Notamacropus eugenii: one gene and its partner. The protein of the gene in region 1 interacts with the protein of each later gene in a biochemical or structural test. Links are inferred from orthologs where the notes say so. Each region holds a gene or a part of one and is shown in the gene's direction. Other genes may lie near its edges.

The links. The genes of interacting proteins can lie anywhere in the genome.
Region 2: the proteins of BNIP2 (region 1) and ARHGAP1 form a complex in vitro, tested with the Homo sapiens proteins (2 studies listed by BioGRID). The link is inferred for Notamacropus eugenii from reciprocal best matches to the Homo sapiens genes BNIP2 and ARHGAP1.

Annotation. Positions count from the first base shown.
Region 1 is NC_092872.1:149,411,014-149,420,780, forward strand, and holds the start of BNIP2 (BCL2/adenovirus E1B 19 kDa protein-interacting protein 2), read left to right. Parts: upstream 1-5,380; 5' UTR 5,381-6,370; coding exon 6,371-6,895; intron 6,896-9,767.
Region 2 is NC_092877.1:4,149,268-4,160,069, forward strand, and holds the start of ARHGAP1 (rho GTPase-activating protein 1), read left to right. Parts: upstream 1-6,361; 5' UTR 6,362-6,532; intron 6,533-6,568; exon of another isoform or gene 6,569-6,754; coding exon of another isoform or gene 6,755-6,804; intron 6,805-7,241; exon of another isoform or gene 7,242-7,528; intron 7,529-7,804; exon of another isoform or gene 7,805-7,829; intron 7,830-10,802. UniProt on the Homo sapiens protein: GTPase activator for the Rho, Rac and Cdc42 proteins, converting them to the putatively inactive GDP-bound state. Cdc42 seems to be the preferred substrate.

The DNA of each region.
Region 1 (9,767 bases):
TGGTATTTTTACCAAATAAGAACAAAATGGACTGTAGTTGAAACTTGGAAGTTAATCAAATCTGTCTTTGTTTGATAGCTCCCTCTTCTCTCCCTCCCCTCTTCCCCTCCCTTCCTTTTTAGTTAGTTTAGTTGTAGAATAGCCACATCAGCAGTTAGTTATGTATTAGATAAGGAAGTGTGTCTTGTCTAGTTTTTCCGAGCTTAGTCTTTAAACCTGCCTCCCAGCCAATGGAGAGGTGGTATATTGGGGGGGGGGGGGGGGGGAGAGGGGAGGAATTCTCTGCATTACAGTTTATGATGGTGCCTTGTTCTCTGTAAACTGCCTCCTTCCACTAGTCCGGTTCTGGTGGAAGAGATGTCCCTTTCTCGCAAGAACTGAATAAAACATTTTCTATTCTTACCTCAAGAAGTCTCTTTATTTTCTAAAATTTTGGGAAAGGGTCTTGTACCTTACATAGTCCCATCTGGAGTTTTCTTGGCAAAGATACTCCAGTGGTTTGAGAAACTGAGGTAAACAGGATTAAGTGACTTGTCCAGAGTCAGACAATCAGTAAATGTCAGAAGTCAGATTTGAACTCAAGAAACTAAGTCTTCCTGACTCCAGACTTGGTTCTCTATCTGATGAGGTACAGGCCCTTTGAATCTTCCCACTTCATCTGGAGTTCGCCTGAGGCCATAAGCCTTTCATTAATGCTTTGTCCAATTGCTTCAGGCTACTTCCCACCTTTGATCCTATCAAAATCCCACTCTGTTGGTTCTGACCTCTAGTTACCCTAGTCCCATCAAGATCCTCCTTAGATTCCTCCTCAAGACCCTCTCTAAACCCCTCCTCTAGTTACCCCAGACTACTTGGCCAACCCTAGATACTTCCCACAATCTTTATGTATGTAAGATCCATCCTACCTCCATGAAGGCACTCAGATTCAATCTAGATGAGATTCAATCTGGCTCACTTGTCAATACAAGCTTCACAAATGCTCAGATTCCTTAGGAGTCTATTCATTGATGAGATTCCTTAAGAGTCTACCCAATATGGCAAATCTTTAATAAACTTTGTTTTTGTTTGACTGAAAGAAGACTTGAGTCGAATTCATTTGGGCAGGACCTGGTGTGTCAGTATTTTGGGGTCCTAAGCACCCCTAAACCCCAACATATCCATTGGGCCACCTAGCTGCCCCCATTTCTAACATTGTGAAATCCTGTAAAGTCCATTGGAAGTATCCTTTAAATGCTAGAGATGGAAGGGAACTTAATTATCATTAAGTCCAGCACCCTCATTTTACAGATAAAGAAACTAAGGTACAGAGAGGTCATTCTTGTGTTATACACCTTAACTTTACTTCAGCCATATATAGGAATGTTTTTAACCTTGATCTCACTGGCATGAGAGCTCTACTTTCATGATTCAGAGCTCTGATAACCTTCTGTTTAGCCACAAACTCCTATCTTTCAACTCACCTGATTCACTTCTTCTCCAGAAGAAGTCTTCACATGCTTGGGGTAGACACCACCCCACCCCACCCCCGCCTCATCAATAGGTTTGAGACTCCTTGGTTACCCTCAACTAGGTTTGGCCTTTCTGCTGAAACAGTTTATTGGGGTGTTGCCACTGCACATGCTGCAGCTTCTTGGAGCCACAGGTGAGAGTTGGGTGGAACAGGTGGACACCAAAGGTGGAAAGCAGCCCTGCAAAGAGCTTGACAGCCATCACACCAAAGGTACTGGTCCTCCCTGATTCCGAGCTTATATTGGTCTGGTCAACCACCGTTGGACATATTGAAACTTGAGTTTATGATGGTGATGTCATTTTGGTCCTCTTCAAGAAAGAAGGACCAACCAACCAACCAACCAATTCATTCCTTCTAAGCCTATTTTTCTTCATTGCAACTTCCAATAATTCCACCTCTCTCTCTTTCCCAGTCCACCTCTCTCTCTTTTCCCAGTCCATTACTCCTTCTCTGGCTTCTTTGTTACTTTAATGATACTGATCTTTTCATTTTTAGTTTTTTATTAGAATGTCAAGTAAAATCTGGGAAGTTGTTGGTATAGGAGGAGCTGGCAATCTCCACTATGTCCTTCCTTATCCCCAACTTGCTATGTTAGAAGCTCTGGGAAGTTTCCCCTTTGGATGAGATCTGGTACTCTATCTCTCTTGGTTGAGTTGAATTACCTCAGTCCCAATGGGAGAGTTCCTTCTTTTTGTATTGTCTGATATATTCTCACATGTATACTTTCTCTGTTTTCTGTTTTGCTATCAATTTGGAAAAATGGATTTCTTTCCTAAAAATAAAATCAGTTGGAGTTAGAAAACTATCTCTGCAAGAAATTAAAAACTCTAGAGAAATGCTGCCACTTAAGATAGATGTTCTACTGTTCTACTGATGCAGTTTAGTGTTGCTGGGAACCCTGACAACATGGTTTGGGGTTGCTGGGCACCCTGAAATGCCAGGGTACAGGGTGAGTCTGCCTGGAAAGAATTCAAGCACTCAAGCTTTTAGTCAAGGTAGCAAGGTTTATTGTAAACCTTGGGGGATCTGGATGAATTTGAAGTGTGGGGGAGGGCAGAGAATGATGCTTTTTAGTCCAAGCATTCAGTTTGGCTTCCAGCAGTCCCATAGTAACCTCCCTCATTGTAAAGCCAGCTGAGTGATGCTCTCTCTAGTTAGTTTTCTGTCCAGGAGTGTGATTGGTGAAGACAGAAGGACAGTCTGCCCCTGCTCCCACTGCCCCTACATCCCAAGGAGCCTTACACTGGTACAGAAGTTTCATGTAGTGGATTGAGAAGGTAGAAATCAGCTACTAAAAATGATTTTGCCCCACTGAGATCTAGGGAGACAGCTAGCAAGCCCTGTGACAGTATTATTATTTTTCTTTGGGCATGCACTCATGTTTCTGTGGATTTGTTTGTGTAGTGGTGCTCAGAAACTCTAAAATGGACAATGCACAGTAAGACAGTAGCTATCCAGAGCCTGGCTGGCTGGGAAGAGCTCTCCTTTGTGGGCCTGCAGAGCTCTGAGCACCATCCCTGAGGGAGTCGGGATGGGGGGACAGCATGAGGGCCTTCCACTCTGTGAGGCCCAGAGTAAGTGCCAAGGATAATCATGGAATGTAAGGTTTGTCTAACACCACTAAGGGATTTGTTTGGGGTCACTTCTGAACCCAACCTAGAACCAGTTCATGCTCATTTAGTTACTACTTGGAGAACAACATTGTAGGATACAGGAAGGCTCCTCTACACAGGTGTATACAGTGAACAACTGTAAAATGTAAGATGTAAAATATTCAACATTCCCTTTTATTTATCTTGTATTTTCCTTCACATTACCCTCATTTTTAATCAATAAAGAACAAATTGGAAAAAACGGGGGGTGGGGGGGGGCAGCTAGGTGGTGTAGTGGATAGACCAACAGTCTTGAAGTCAGAGGACCTGAGTTCAAATGTGACCTCAAACACTTACTAGCTGTGTGATCCCTGGGCAAGTCACTTAACCCCCATTGCCTCCAAATTAAAATCTTAAAGGGGGGGGGGGGGCGCAGCTAGGTGGTGCAGTGAATACAGCACCAACCCTGGAGTCAGGAGGATCTGAGTTCAAATGTGACCTTGACACTAGCTGTATGACCTTGGGCAAGTCACTTAACCCCAACTGCCTTGTCTTCACACCTCCAAAAAAAAACCAACAACAACAAAAAACCCTTAAATGCCAACAGGAGCCAGGTGAGATTCTTAGTGAATCTTCACCTGGATGGAGATGAGATATTTATATTAAAAAAAGGACACAGAAGATTTGGATGGGATTCAGGAGAGATAAACAGCAGGGGTAGTCCCGGTGTAACCTTGAAAGGATCTTGATGACATTAAGGAGTGTTAAATAGCCTGAGGTGGGCCAAAAGGGAAAATGAAAGCATTATCAAGTAAATTTATTAAGTGATCTAGGTGGGCTGGGGTGGCTCAGATTGGGGAGTGGGGGGGGGGTGCTTGTGATTTGGGCCACTGAAATGTACGAGTTGCTTTCAAAGACATGGTCTTTTTCTTTTAGGTGGCCAGGTCCCATCACCCCATTTCTTCCATGTGCCAAGTACTATATTAATCACTGGGAATAAAAGACCAAAAAAAAAAAGTAATTCCTGCGCAAAATACCTAACATTCTAACAGGATATATACACACATATGTGTGATCATAGACACATATACTACATACATGTATGCATATATATATATAGAATAAATACACATAGCACAAATACAAGGAAGTTGAGGGGAGGACACTACAAGTTGGACACTACAGTGTAGAAGGTAGCCCTTGAGTTGTATCTTGAAGGAAATGAGGGATTTGATGAGGCTGAAGTAAATACATGCATTTGGAACAACCAGGGAAAAGGCACAGACATGTGAAATGCAGTACTGTAAAGAGAGGCCGGTTTGGCTAGACCATAAGATTCAGGAAAGGGGGGTAGCAATGGACAATGAGACTAAAAAGATAGATTGGCACCAGATTATAAATGACTTTTTAAAAAGTTTATACTAGCAGTAATAGGATTTATTGAATAGAGGAGGGGCATGATTAGATCACGTGAGGAAAATCACTTTGGCAATTGGACAGTGGATTGGAGTTGAGGGACTTGAGTCAAGGATACTAATTAGAAGGCTTTTGTAATAGTCCACATGATAGCATAGGAGCAATGAAGGGATAGGGCCAACATAAATGTCTATGAGAGAACAGGTGGTCAGAGAAGGGGGCTAATCACCTAGTTTTCATATAATTCCACAGGAGCCATGGGAGTAGTAGACTGTCATGCCCTTTATAATAGCCAATGTTTATTTGATTATAAATCAGTGAGAAAGAGATTAAAAGCGGGGTGGGTTATGCTGCCTGCAACCAGTGCCAGCATCGGAAAGACAAGGGTGGGTGGAGTACTGGGGCAGAGTCGTTTAAAAGAAGAAAGGCTGAGTTACTCATCCTAGGTAGACGTAGTTCTTTAAGAAGATGGTCTCCATGAATTCGTGAGTGGGTGTGAGCTTTGCTGGAAGGTCAGGGTGAATCAGTTGGGTCTTGGTTCAGAGACTGGTGGCCTTGTGAGAGTAGAGAGTTGGCAGAGCAGAAGTCAAATTCCTGATCCCCTGACAGTTACACAGGGGTCAGGGCGGCCCTGGCATCAAGCTGAAGAGGTTCTCTATTTCTTCTCAGTCTTTAGAAAAACAAAATAAAACAAAACCCCTTGTTCTTTCTTTTCTCCTTCCTTTTTTCTTAAAACAAAACAAAACACCACCTGAATCCTCTCAGTAGCAGTTTTTAGACTTAGATTGAGGATGGCAGGGTCTTATCTTAGTTTATACTTTCTTACACACCTAGGTAAGAGTTTGGGCTCAGAGGATTTTTTTTTTTTTAATAAGAGCTTTTGTTTACTGACATTATGAGTAACAGCTGACATCACTTGATGGTTTGAAAACTGTTTTATCTGTACTATCCCATTAAAGATTTAAACCAAGTAAGTGGAGGACTTAAGAGTTAGACCTTACCTTAAAAGACTTATACTTCAACCCCTCCATTTTATATAAAAGAAAATGGAAAGTCAGCAAGATTAAGCAACTTCCCCAAGGGATACATAATACCTAGCAAGTGTTCCTGAAGGAGATGGCATTTGAAATGGACTTTGAAGAATGAGGAGGAATTAAGGAGGTCAATCAATCAATAAACACTTCTTCATCGACTACTATGTGGCAGGACACAAGGTTCAAGGTCTCCCCCATCTGGGGCTGTCTCCAGTCATCCTATTCCGTATCTGGGCATTGGACCCAGATGGCTCCGGAGGAGACAGTGAAGCCGGTGACGCTGCACAGCCTCCCTCGCTTCAATCCAATTCACAGGCAGTCATGGCATCACCTCCCTGATGCCACCCTCCTCTTCCACAACACAGGACAAACCCCTGTGCCAGGCACCGTGCTGCGGGCTGCGCTATAGAGAGTCCAAAGAAGGCTGGGGAACTGGAAGGGCTTACAAGACAATGGGTGACTGGCGCTGATAGAGCTCCGCGCCCGGAGCCAGAAGTACTGGGTACGAATCGGACCTCAGACACCTCCCGTGTGACCTTGGACAAGTCACTCCACCTCTTCCTGCCTCAGTTTCCTCATCTGTCAAATGGATAGATTAACAGCACCTAACTCCCTGGGTTCTTGAGAAGACAAAATATATATACTTTTAAAAACAACAGTTTTTGCAAAATGCTCTGCAAACCTTCAAGTGCTGTTTTATTCAAAGGTGACCGTGAATTTAGTGATGACCGTGGTAATTTAATGTCCAAGGGGAAGGCTCGGAGGGGTAGAGTTTAGGCTTCTAGGAAACCAAGCGGTCTGGTTCCAAGTCTGCAGAAATGGGGAATTTGGGGGGAGATTTTGGTCAAGCAGCCACAGTCCCCACTTTCAGTAGGGCAGCAGCCGCCGAGGAGAATCCCTCGAGAGGACTGCGCGTGCGCAAAGCTTCTCCCCAGCTACCCTGGCGACGGGACGAGCGCCGCGTCTCGGTGTCAGCGCGCATGCGCAAGGTCGGGCGGGCGTTGCAGGGGTGGGGTTTCCTCTCGTTTCCTTCCTTCCTTCCTTTAAGCCGGGCGCCGCGGCCCCTCTCCGCTAATTTGTGTCACCCCACCCCGGGCGAGGGAAGCGGAGCGATGTTGTCACTTCCGTCGAGGCCCCCATCTACATCCAGGTCAGCGCTCTTGCCGCTGCCGCTGCGGCTGGGGGACCTGGCTGGGGTCTCCGCCGCCGACCTAGGGGCTCTGGGGGAGCCCCGCGCAGGGCCCAGCTCCAGGCCGGTCCGCCCGGCTTCGCCGGCCTGGAGGGGCGAAGGGGACGAGGAACCGGAACCGGAGCCGGAGCCGGAGCCGGAGGCTGCCTCCCGGGTAGGTGCGGGATCTCGGCGGGGCCGGGGCGGGGAGGAGCTGCCCACCCCGGCGACTCCGGACGGGGTCGGGCCGGGCCTGGAGAGTGCGGCGGGCGGGGCCGGTCCGCCGACGCTCGGCGGCCGGATCATTGCTGCCCGGGCTCTCTTAGGGTGTTACCTGTCCCTTCCGTTGGCCCTGGGGCTGGGGGCAGCGGCGGAAGAGCAGCGCGTCGGGGCTGCGCAGCCCGGGTCCTTCCTGCCGTGGCCGGGCTGTGGCTTCCCAGGGCCATTTCCCGAGTTTCCTAGGCGCCTTGTGCCCTTAGGGAGTAGCTTCGGAAGAGGCGTTTGTAATAAGTGTGAGAAGCAGGGGATAATGAACGAGGGCCTTTTCTGGGAGCTCACCTGGCTGCCCCCTTTGTGGCCTCCTTAACCTTACGGAAAACACGTTCCCGAGAGGAGCCGCGGGGCTCCTGGAGAAAGTGCTTTGGGGATAGAGCTTTTCAACAGTTAAATTGACTCAAGTAGAGACCCACCTGGGCCGGAAGGCTCAGACGCTGAATCACCTCTTCTGTCCTTTTTGTGTCAGAACCTTCCTAGTCTGTAAGAGTCAGTTTCAAGCTGTTAGTACAGAGTTACAACCTAAGCTACTATGTAGCCCTTTATGTCGATTACAAGTCTCTTCCTCCTGTCCTTTGCGGCAGCTGGTGGGCTTACAGCTAGTTAGAAAGACGACTTCAAATGCAGATTCAGACATTTAATAGCTGCGTGTGACCCTAAGGAAGTAAACGTTTGCTTGCCTCAGTTTCCTCAACTGTAAAATAAGGATAACATAAACACCTACAGCCAAGGGTTGTTGGGGGTCTCTAAGGAGATATTTGTAAAAAGTGCTTATTGGTTCAGTGCCTGGCATGTAGTAGGTGCTGTGTAAAGTTTTATTCTTTCTCTCCTTAATTTAATAAATTGAAACCCCCAGAGAAGCCTGGTAATTCCGTTTTACAGAGGCAAAACTTAATGCTAGATTCTTTACTTCTACCTATTCTTAGTGATTAATCATTACTTGGCCTACAATGAACCTAAGCCTACAATTTTATTACTGCTGGTATTTCTTTTAAAATTGCCAATATACAAAATTAGCGTTTTATTTTACAGCCAAAATGTTTACATTTACTATTATACAACTAGATGTTAGAAAAGTAGTTGCTAAAAGTTATTACCCATTTTTTTCATGTATACCAGCAGTAGGGCTTTTAAGTCCTGCTGTTTCTTAGGTATTATACATTTTTTTCTTTTAATTGTACTATAATTAGTATATTTAGATTTCCAACAATTAAGCAACATCTTTGACTTTAAAGTTTTTGATTAGAGACTCCTTAATTTACTTTTCAACAACTGGAATTTTTTTTGCTATTTTTCCCTTGCCATGTAAGTGGGCATCATGTCAGGAAAGCATTTAAGATTTATCTTGGTGATTATGTGGTAATGTCCTATAATGTTACCAAAATTGTTGACTTTAAGGTGGGGAAATCTGAAAACATTTAAAAGGAGATAATGACACTCTTGTCTGAACATATCCTGTCTACCCACCATGTAATTTATTTAAACATACAGTACTATTATCAAAGTCTATTCTAGCAGTTATGACTAGACCTTGGTAAGAATGGATTTCAGTTTGAGCAATCCTGAATATACAAACTTACACTTTTGTCAGTTTTATTAATGGGGCTAACCTGTAGCAATTGCAGTATAGTTCAGAACTAAAATGAAATTGTAGGCATTATCCCACCTTCCCTCTCCCTTACCCCACATATCCAAATTATTTGAAAAGTCTTGATTCTGCCTCCTAGTCAGCTGGCACTTATTAGCACTTAGTGTGTGCTGAGCACTATGTGAAGTTCTAGGAAGTGCTAGGAATACAAAGGAAGGAAAAAACAACTCCTACCCTTGAGGAGCATTCGTTCTAATAGGGGGTATTACATGCAAACAATTATGTAAGTACAAGGTATGTACACAGTGATTGGAGGTAATCTCTGAGGAAAACACATCAGTATTGAGAGGTACTAGGAAAGGCCTCTGTTGGGAGGTGGGATTTGACCTGACACCTGAGGGAAGCCAGGAAGTAAAAGTATTCTAAGTAGGGGAGACATTAAATGAAAAGGCATTAATAGATTGTCCAGTACCTTGAGGGGTACAAATTATAAGAGTGGATAAGTAGGAAGGGGCCAGGTTGTAAAAGACTTTAAAAGTCAAATAGGATTTTATATTTGATCATGAAAGTAACAAGGAGCCAGTGGAGTTTACTGAGTAGGATGGTGACATAATTAGACTTGCGTTTAGGAAGATAACTTTGGCAACTGAATATAGGATGGACTGAAGTGGTGAGAGACTTAAAGCAGGGAGACCAACCAGAGCACTTTTGAAGTAGCCCAGGAGTGAAGTAATAAGAGACTAATCCAAGCTGTTTCCAAGGAGGAGAAGGGAGTATAGCCAAGAGGTTTTGTGAAGGTAGAATCAACAGGACTTTGCTATAGGGGTTCTGGTTGTTCAGCCATGTCCTGCCTCTTAGTGACGCCATGGAACATAGCATGCCAGGCCCTTCTATCTTCCACTGTCTCTGCAAAATCTGTCCAAGTTCATGTTCTTTGTTTCCATAATATTTTCTGTGTATCTCATCCTCTGTCCTTCCCTTTTCCTTTTGTCTTCAGTCTTTCTCAACATCAGGGTTTTTTTCCAAGGAGTCCTAGCTTCTTATCTGACCAAAGTATTTTAAGCTTCAGCTTCAATATTTGACCTTCCAGCAAATAGCCTGAAGTAATTTAAGTATTACTGACTTGATCTCCTTGTGGTCCAGAGGATTCTCAAAAGTCTTCTTGAGCACCAAAATTTGAAAATAT
Region 2 (10,802 bases), on another chromosome or scaffold:
AGTGCAACACTCCTAGCTCGCTGCCTTCTTTCCTTCCCTGCTCAAAAGGAATGTACATTTTAGTATCTGAAACTTCTTTTTCTTTCTTAAAGACTAGCCTGAACCCCGACTTCACTGACTGGCCAACAACAGATCCCAGACCAAGCCCTACTTGGTCACTGTTTGGGCCCGCACTGGTTCAGAATGAATGTAAGTCGCAACTGTTTCTGTTCTGGCCAGAAAGCGAGGTTCTTCCTTTCCCAGGCCGACTTTTTTTTTTTTTGCTAGGTAAAAGAGACCATTCTCTGCCTCATTTCTCCTTGAGCCTTGATCCCTGAATGGGTGTTGCCTCAAGTCAATCTCAACCTGTTAAAGATTCCCTTTATAAAGGCCAAGGTCCTCACTGCATCCTGGGCCATCTCCAGTCCTCCTGGTCGATATCTGGCCACTGGACTCAAACGACTCAGGAGGAGAAAGTGAGGCTGGTGACTTTGCCCTGCGCTGCCCTCCCTCCCTCACTGAAATCCACTTCACTTGCACGTTGTGGCATCGCTTCCCAACGCCCTCTTCATGATCTTCATGGACGAACGACAAACAACAGAGGCTGGCACATTTCTGTCGTGGCCTCGTGGGGTCTGGCTCTTCATGACCCCATTTAGTGTGGTTTGCCATTTGCTTCTTCAGCCCATTTTACAGATGAGGAAACAGAGGCAAACAGGGTCACACAGCTTAGTAAGTGTCCGGGGCCAGATTTGAACTGAGCGCCTCCTTCATGCAGGGCACCGCCCTGGGGGTGACAAGAAACACAGGCCTGGGCACGGTGGGTGCCCTCGCGGAGATCCCGGGCGTTGTATGGGGTGAGCACGCAGGCCTGGGCACGGGGGTGCCCTCGCGGACATCCCGGGCATCATATGGGGTGAGCACGCAGGCCTGGGCACGGGGGTGCCCTCGCGGAGATGCCTGGCGTTGTATGGGGTGAGCACGCAGGCCTGGGCACGGGGGTGCCCTCGCGGACATCCCGGGCATCGTATGGGGTGAGCACGCAGGCCTGGGCATGGGGGTGCCCTCACGGAGCTCCGTGGGACACAGGGAGCCACCAGACGCGCTCCTGACGAGGCCACTCGAGGTACGGGCGCTTCGGAAGAGACCAGATGCGTCAGACGGCGATCGATCAATCGGAAATGACCGTTTATCAGATACCCAGTGTGCCAGCCGCCACAGCCAGGCCTGGCCCGGAGCCTATGGCCTGTGGTTTCTATGGCAGTTTAGAGGAGGGGGTGCTATTCCGACCATGCCAACCGGACAACAGGGAAACTGAGGCACGCCCACAGGTAATCACAGGGTCAGGAGACTTTTGTCTCCGCCAGGTTGGCTCCGGGAGCCAAGAGTGGCCTCTGGAACCCAAGCGCTCGGGCCTTAGGCACTTTGCATATTCATGAGGGGGCGGGGCAGTCACGGGGGGGGGCGGGGCAGTCCCCGGGGGGGCGGGGCACGGAGGGGAAGGGCGGGGCAGTCACCAGGGGCGGGGCACGGAGGGGGAGGGCGGGGCAGTCACGGGGGGGGGCGGGGCAGTCACGGGGGGGCGGGGCACGGAGGGGAAGGGCGGGGCAGTCACGGGGGGGCGGGGCAGTCACCAGGGGCGGGGCACGGAGGGGAAGGGCGGGGCAGTCACGGGGGGGCGGGGCAGTCACCAGGGGCGGGGCACGGAGGGGGAGGGCGGGGCAGTCACGGGGGGGGCGGGGCAGTCCCCGGGGGGGCGGGGCACGGAGGGGAAGGGCGGGGCAGTCACCAGGGGCGGGGCACGGAGGGGGAGGGCGGGGCAGTCACGGGGGGGGCGGGGCAGTCACGGGGGGGCGGGGCACGGAGGGGAAGGGCGGGGCAGTCACGGGGGGGCGGGGCAGTCACCAGGGGCGGGGCACGGAGGGGAAGGGCGGGGCAGTCACGGGGGGGGGCGGGGCAGTCACCAGGGGCGGGGCACGGAGGGGAAGGGCGGGGCAGTCACGGGGGGGGGCGGGGCAGTCACCAGGGGCGGGGCACGGAGGGGGAGGGCGGGGCAGTCACGGGGGGGGGCGGGGCAGTCACCAGGGGCGGGGCACGGAGGGGAAGGGCGGGGCAGTCACGGGGGGGGGCGGGGCAGTCACCAGGGGCGGGGCACGGAGGGGGAGGGCGGAGCAGTCACGGGGGGGGGGCGGGGCAGTCACCAGGGGCGGGGCACGGAGGGGAAGGGCGGGGCAGTCACGGGGGGGCGGGGCAGTCACCAGGGGCGGGGCACGGAGGGGGAGGGCGGGGCAGTCCCCGGGGGCGGGGCACGGAGGGGAAGGGCGGGGCAGTCCCCGGGGGCGGGGCACGTCAGCTCGAGCGCACAAGGTCGGGGCCCAGCCAGAAGCGGAGGCGCAGCCGGGACTCGAACCTAGGTCTTTCCACGCCCCAGGGGAGGGAGGGCGCGGGGAGCCTGGGCGGCCTCTTACAGAGGAGGAAGCTGAGGCCCGTGCCCCTCGGCCCCGCCCCGCGCCTCTGGCTCCGCCCGCGCGTGGCACGTGGCAGGCCTTCCGCTGCTGTGACGGGGTTCCCAGCGCACTCCTCACCGCGCCCCCCGGCACCCCAGAGATCATGGGTCCAGCCCTCACTGAACACCAGGGGAAACTGAGGCCGGAGGAGCCGAGGCCCCCAGAAGGCAGTGACTCTCTGGGCTTTGTGTTCCTGGAACACCGCAGGCGATTAATGGGACACATTCTGGGGCAGATAGAGCGCCCCGAGCAAGTCTGCGGCTGCCGGGAGGGGCGGGTGGCGATCTGCGCTTGGGGAGGGGGTGTTCTCACCGGGAGTCCTTCCTAGTGGGGATGCCGGTGACAGCAGCCAGCATCTCCGCAGCCCCGGAGGGCTGGCACAGCCTTCAGACGGTGTCTCCTCGGATCGCTAGACGCCGGTGGTGTTTTCCAGGTCAGGCTCTTCGTGACCCCCAGGGTTTTCTTGGCCATTCCCTTCTCCAGCTCGTTTTATAGATGAGGACACTGAGGCAGACAGGGTGAAGTGACTGGCAGCGAGCCCCGACCCCAGGAGGGCCTGCTTTCCTAAAAGAACGTTCTTTAATCCCGTGCCCCAACAGAGGAAATACAAGCAGGGAAATGACCCACAGACAGGGCTTCGGTCCGACCATGAGCAATACGTACATCCCAGATCAACAGATGGCTCCACGTCTGACCATTACATGCAGAGTTGGCACCAACATATACATTCTTCAGGACCGCAGGGCACTGACCCTCTTGACTCTGCCTCTAGCAACGAACAAGAGGTGTGGGCCTTGCTACAAAACGAGCTTCCCCTAAGCAAGCTTCTCTCCAAGGGCTATAGGTGAGGTCTATTAACGGGTGGGGGAAGACCTTGAGCTCTGGCGTCAAAGTCCTAGTAAGTATTGGAGGCCAGATTGGAACTCAGGAAGATGGGTCTTCAAGACTCCAGGCCCAGACTTCATCCACCGCCCCCCAGCTGCCCCTGTTCCTGGGAAAGCAGGTGCATCACAAATACATGCTTGTTGACCAGAGACTTTTTTTTCCTTAAAAATTTTTTTAATATTTTCCCCCAATTACAAACTTTAACGTTCATTTAAAATTTTTTTGACTTCCACATTCTTTTTCCCTTTTCTTCTCCTCCCCTTCTCTCTCTCAAGAAGGCAATTTTATATAGATTATGCATGTATAGTCACGCACAGCACATTTCCAAGTTAGTCATATTGTGAAAGAAAACATAGACAAAAAAACCCACAAGAAAAATAGAGAAAAAAATATGCTTTGATCTGCATTCAGACTCCATCAGTTCTTTCTCTTGAGATGGAGAGTTTTTTTCATCATAAGTCCTTCAGAATAGTCTCGGATCACTGCTGAGGCTAGCTGAATCATTCACAGTTGATCATCATACAGTATTACTCTTACTGTTGATAATGTTTAATATAAAATTTTGGAATAATCTCTTTGTTCTCTCTGAAGCAAACTCAGAGAATGCCTCTTCCTATGTCAACAAAAGCCTGCCAGGGCTGACTTACATTCCTTAAGAGACCTTTAACCTAAGACACTATCTTGAATAATGGGACGTTTTCCATATCTTAATATTTGTAGACATATACTATGTTATGGCATGTTAATGGTAAAGAAAACACAGACATCTTAGGTCGTAATTTCTATTGAACTTTGTTTACCCTTTCCTATGTCAGTTACCTGTTTAGGGCAGGAAGCCCACCACTTACATTTCCAAGACATATGTTTACCCAGCTTGGAATCCCAAGGCCTGACCAATATTGCTTTGTTAATTGTCCTGTCTTACTGAATTTATGATTTGTTCAACTAGGAGAGTTCTTTTCTCACGGCAAAATGTATATAGGCCAGAAGATTTCTGCACTGGGTAGCCAGAACATTTCTGGCTCCATAATGCATTATGTAACTGTTTTCTTTATGGGGAATTAATCAATTAATTAATTAAATCATAAAATGTATGCATTTAGCCATGTTGCCTTTTCTTCAACAAGTTTTCAGGTCAACACAACCTATGCAATTAAGAAATTCCTTTCTAATGGTGTAGTTAATCATTCATGGAGATCATAAATCTGAAGGACACAGAACACTTCTTTGCCCTAAAAACATATTTAAGGCTTCCCAGTTCTTTGTATCGGTAGCCAGAACATTTCTGGCTCCATAATGCATTATGTTACCGTTTTCTTTAATAGGGAATTGATTAATTAATTAAATCATAAAATGTATGCATTTAGCCTGTTGCCTTTTCTTTAACCAAGTTTTCAGGTCAACACTGTATACAATTGTTGAGGACCAGGGTGGAGTGCGGTGGACAAGATCAGGAAAGACCTTTGGGGAAACTGTTCTTTGAGACTGTGCTCCTTATCATCCAGAATGGCTCTCCATGACCCCTGGATGTTGCTATCTCCCTGAGACAAACGAGAATTACAGAAAACAAGGGATATGTAAAATAGATGCCCCCTAGGCTAACAGTCTTTAAAGACAATAAGACTGGCCAAATCACTGGGAGACAGAAGAATCTCACGTAGACTCGCAGTTTCTGTCTATATATACCCTAACCCTTGGATCAATAAATGGAATTGGTCCATCTTTCCCCGCCTCCCGTGTCTTTCTTCTTCACCACATCACCAAGCCCGTGTGTGGAGGCAGGCCTTCTGCTACATACACTGTTCCGGCTCTCATTTCACTTTGCATCAGTTCATGCAAGTCCAGGTTTTTCCGAGAGCACCCTACTCATTTCTTATAGCACAATAATATTCCATCACAACCTTATACACGTTATTCTCGTATTCCCCAAGTGATGGACATCCCTTAATTTCTAATTCTTTGTCACCACAAAAAGAGCTGATACAAGTATTTTTGTACATATAAGTCCTTTTCTTTTTTTCAGTCTCTTTGGGATGTGTGCTTGTCCTTCATTCTCAAAGAGGACCATGACATGAAGATGAGGACATGACTTGCCATTGACTTTGATTTGAGGGAGGGAGGGCTGTGCAAGGTCACTTTCTTCTTGTGCCTCACTTTCTTCTCCTGAGCCACCAGGGTCCAGTGGCCAGATAGTCCTCAGGATCACTGGAGATGGCCCCGTCCTTTCAGGCTGAGGTCTTATAGCATTTTGACTTTAAGTGAGGCACACTCATCTTTGGCACACAGACCTGGGAATGCTAGCAGCTCAAGCAGAGGGCAGGGCTCCACGCTCCTCAGCGGACGCCTGCGCAGGCGCAGAACGCCCCAGACCGCGCATCCGTGTGTCAGTTTCCCCACAGCCCCGCCCACACCGGTCCGGGCCTGGGTGGCAGCTCGGAGTTGTTCCGGTTTGCGTGTCTCGCGTCCCCGCAGCTTGTCTGAAAGCTGTCAGTTGTCAGTTGTCTTTTAGACTCCGTTCTGTCCACATCAGAGAAATGAGGTCTTCGTCTGGGAGCTGCGTTCCCGTGTCTGTCCTGCTGTCTCTCTGTCCTTCCACCCTGTCCCTTCTCAAGTGTTCGCTCTGACCTTTGCCCTCCGTCCATCAGCACCCCGTGACCCCATCCCCTCCTCCCGCCCCCTTGATTTCAGTTTGTAAGTGATCATCCCATCTGGACCCTCCTAGGGAGAACGTTCTGGGGAGTTACGAGCGTAGGAACGGGAAGCGTTCAACCTCATCGAATCCTTCCTGCTTCCTCTTTCCTGGTTTACTCTATTTCTGAGCCACGCAAGCGCAGAGAGCGTCGGACTCCGTGGGCCTATCAGCGAGGGCGGAACCCTATTTCTCCGCCTCTGTCCCCACCCGGAGAGGAACCGGAAGGGAACGGCAGAGGACGCAGGCGGCCCCTCCCCCAGGCGGAAGCGGCCATGTTTGTTCGTGGCAGCGGACCGGAAGCGGGTGCGCGGCGGGGCGGAAGTGGCGGGGCGGTGGCTCCGGGGTGGGTGTGGGTCTGCGGGAGAGTGCCTGCGGGGGGGGCGGCGCTCCTCCCTGCTCTGCTCCCTCCCTCCCAGCGTCGGCTCCGAGCCGGATGTTGGCGGAGCTGTGACAGGAGGCGGCGGCGGCGGTGAGCTGGGCCGGGGCCGCGCGGGGCGGGGAGGGGATCGGGACCCCGACGGCGAGAAGAGGGGCGGGCTCGGGCCCGCGGCGGCAGCCTCCTCCGGGCCGGAACCGTCGTGCGGACGGGGCAGCTGAGCCTGGGAACGGAGGTCTCCGCCGCGCCGCTCCCCGGGCCTCAGTGTCCCCGTCTGTAAAACCCCTCCCTCCGCTGCCTGAGGTGTCGCCCTGGATGAGTCACTTCCTCTTTCCGGGCCTCAGTTTCCCCTTCTGCGGGGCTGGGTGAGTGACCGGGAACCTCGCTCGCTCGGTCGGCGCGTGAGCTGCCCCCGGGCCTCAGTTTCCTCCTGTGGAAGGCCGGCCTCCGAGGTGCTTCGCAGCGGTGTGCGGGGCTCCCCCCCGCCGTGTGCGGGGCTCCCCCCCGCCGTGTGCGGGCTCCCCCTGCCGTGTGCGGGCTCCCCCTGCCGTGTGCGGGGCTCCCCCCCGCCGTGTGCGGCCCCCCCCCGCCGTGTGCGGCCCCCCCCGCCGTGTGCGGCCCCCCTGCCGTGTGCGGGGCTCCCCCCCTCCCTGTGCGGGGCCCTCCTCCCTGTGCGGGGCTCCCCCCCGGTGTGCGCCCCGGACTGGTCCTTTCCCCGTGGGGGCCCATCCGGGTGACCCGCCCCGGCCGTGCATCCCCCGCAGCCGCGCACTGCAGGGCCGGGCCCTCCTCCCGGTGGCCCGGCTCCGAGGCTGCTAATGGTCGGAGCGGGGAGCCCGTGCGGGGAGCGCCTTAGGGATGGGGTGATCCCGCTCCCTCGTCTTACACGCGAGGTACCCGGAGACTCCCCGCCCCCCAATGAAGGTCCCGCAGCCTGGCTTCAGATCCGGAGAAGCTGGTCCGAAGGAGGGTGGGCTAGGGCAGGGGGGAGGGGCCGGGTTTCCTTCCACGTACCTGTCCGGAGCCCCTCCTTCTTTTCTCCCTTGGGAAACAGGCCCTGCCAGGCTGGGCGCTGGTAGAGCGTCCCAGGTGAGTTCGCTGTCCTGGTCTCGGGTGGTGATGAGGCAGAGGGAGTTCCTGGGGGCCCCGGGGTGGTTTAGTTCTGACCAGAGAGGTGAGACGCTGGAGTGCAGAATGGCACCCCCCGTTTATCTTGTAGCAGCAAAGAGAGAGACAGCCGTTTCAGTTACGGGTGGGAGCAAGCTGGTAGGGTTCAGACACTAGGGGGGCTCTGAAAGCCCCAGGGCTGGCCTAGCCTCCTTGTTTCCGCAGGTTCAGGTCAAGGTGATCCACCTCCTTTAAATCTGGGTCCCTGATCTGAGTCGTGGAGGTGAGCTGTTCAGCCTTCTTTGGTGGGTAAAGGCTTAGATTAGCACCAGGGCACCCCCATGCCCACTTTGGGATGGCACCACACAAGAGGCCCATTATCTCTGACCTTTGCGTTGCTGGTCTTTTCTCCAGAGAGGAAGAAGCACAATCTTAGAGTGGAAAGTTCAGGGTCTGTGAAGCAGCTTAAGTTGGAAATTCCCCGGGCCAGGAGGATGCAGCCTCTCCTGACCCTCTTTGATGGGAGATTTGGGGAGCAGCTTTCTGGGACTGGGGTGAACTTGTCGGCTGTAGCTTTAGAGGTACTGATGGAGGTCAGCCAGGAAGGGCGGGTGCAGTCAGGAAGTGAAAGCTGTGGAGTTGCAGAAAGGCAGTGAAATTTCAAGTTCAACCCTTTTTCAAACGTTGGCCTCCTTCCTCCCTTGCACATACTTGAGTTCCAAGATGCTCTCTCCTTTGGTGTAGAGCAGGAGAGATTTTTTCAGAGCTCATATAGTTCTTTATTTCATCCACGGGGATGAAATCCATCCATTGGGGCCCACTGGCAGAGCTAGGGCTGTTCAGCGGGGTCAGCAGAGCATCTGGCATGGGTTTCCTCTAGCAGCTGCCCTTTTGAGGGCCTTTCCCTCCTTGTGTCCCAGGGACACTAGAATGTGGGCAGTGGAATTCCCCAAGGAAAGGTCTGTGTGGCACAGAGTGGGCATGAGGAAAGCAGTTGGTATTGTGGTATGGAGTCCAAAGTCTTGGGTTTGAAACTTGGCTCAGAGCCACTTAGTAGTGGTGGGAACAGGAAGTCACTTTCTCCAGATAGAAAAAAAAGGGCAAGGTTTCCCACTGCATCTCGGGCCATCTCTAGGCTCCTGATCCATATCTGGGCACTGGGCCCAAATGGCTTCAGAAAAGAAAGCGAGGCTCGTGGCTTTGCACAACCCTGCCTTACTTAAATTCAATTCCTCTGCTGTCATGATATCACCTTCCTCAACAACAAGTGTCCAACTGAGCCTCGGTTCCCTCTAGTTCCTAAGCATTGGATCGGTCCAGAGATTCAATGGCTTGCCCTCTAGAGGCCTGATTCCCAGCTCTGCCACTTCTGACCCCTGTGACCTCAGGGCCTCAGTTTCCTCATCTTGAAAATGAGGACTTTGGCCCAGATGACCTCGAAGTTCCCTTCTAGTTGTACATCTCAGCTCCTGTGTTATAGGGAAGGTTCCTGAGCAGGTGTGGTTTGAGCTTGAGAGCCAACCTTTCAACCTGGAGCTCCCCTAATTCAGTATGAAATCAGGGGAGCTTGGGCCCTTCGGACCTTTTTTGATTCTGTAGCAGTATCTTTAGAAAGTCACATTGTGGCATCCTAGAGTGTCAGACAGTCATAGGGTCACAACAGCTACGACTACAAGAGCCTTCATAGGTCTTCTAGTCCAACTCTGACATTCTACAAATGAGCAAACTGCGACCTATGAAATGACTGGTCCAAGGCCACACAGGTGTCACGTGGCATAGCCAGCCCTCTGGCTCAAAGACAGCTTTCCCTGGACACTTCATGTTGTCTTTTCCCCCGAAGGCCCACACTTGAAAACCTCACAAGAGAGGGAGTCCCCTGTTTTCTGGGGGCAGTCCTTTCCAGTTTTGAGTCATTAGAATTTTGGGGAATTTTATCACCTGTAAAGAAACAGATTCAACCAAGGAATGACTTGTTGGTTACACCATTATTAAGTGGAACCGAGCCAAGCTTCAAGCCCAGGACTTCTGCGACCAAACGCAGGCTCTCTCCGTGTTATCACGACACTGCCTTGCTCACCCCTGTGCCCCACCAGGCTATGTTCTGTGGATTGCACTGCAGACTTTCCCTGTAACATTTTAGCAAATAGTAACTGAAGGAATCAGGTCGGTGAGCTTAGTAAAAAATTTATGCAAACTCCACCCAAAGGAGAGATCGCATGGGCCCAAGACGTGCTGGGAGTGATGCGTGTAGGTGAGCCATCAGGCAGGGCAGAATCTGGCCCATGCTCCAGGTCACTTGAAATCAGTCTTCCCACTGTGGGACAGGAAAGCAAAGGTGAATGACTTTTGATTTATGATTTGTGGAACACAGTCTCCCTTTAAAAAAAAGCAAGCAATTCATCTTCATCCGGTGACAGTGTTTGCCAAGCACTTTCTTCCCAGTCCTGGGGAGCTCAGTAGTTGTAAGGCAGTGGTCCTTGAGGTGGGGATTGGGAGTAGAAGCTGGGAGAATAGCTTACTGAGAAGGAACATGATATTTCCTTGTAAGGAACAATTCTCTTGGGGAAGAAAATTGTATTTTGCATTGGTAGGAAAGGCTGGGGTAGCAGCGGTCTTCTGGGGGCAAGCAGGATCATTTCTTCTTTGGTTGAAATGCTCCCCAGGAAACTGATCTGGAGCTCAGAAGAGCTTTTCAGCACTGACTCAGTGTGGTTGCCTGGTGACAGGGTGGTGGTTGCTAGGTGCAGGGAGGCAGTTTGCCATCCCAAGTCCTTAGCTGGGCCTGCCAGTGCGTAGTTGTTGCATTACCTCATGACCCAGAGGAGTTCCGGGTCTGGGCCCTGGCCTTGCAGGTTCTGGGCCCTCCTCCTCCCTGCCATTCCATCAGAGCCTTGTCGATGCGTTCCTTATCTTTCCTACTGATCCTCTGACCATATATGTCTTGTTTGGGCTCTTGGAATGTGTCTGGCTCTGAGCAAGCTCACTCCTGGGACCTCTAGCGGGAAGCAGATAGATCTTGGATTTCGTGGGGATGTAGGGAGGCCCTAGAACCCACCTCCTAACCACACACGACCACGCCCTGCTTTCTATAACCGGAATCCAAGCCCCAGGGAGTCCAAAGGCATCCCAATTCTAGGCCTAGTTTTTCCTTGGATCTCTAATTCTGGGAAGATTTTTCCATTTTCCTCTCCCACAGCTAGGGCTGTGGATGTTTCTTTTTTCCCCACCTCCACTTCAGCCTGCCCATCCAGCTTTG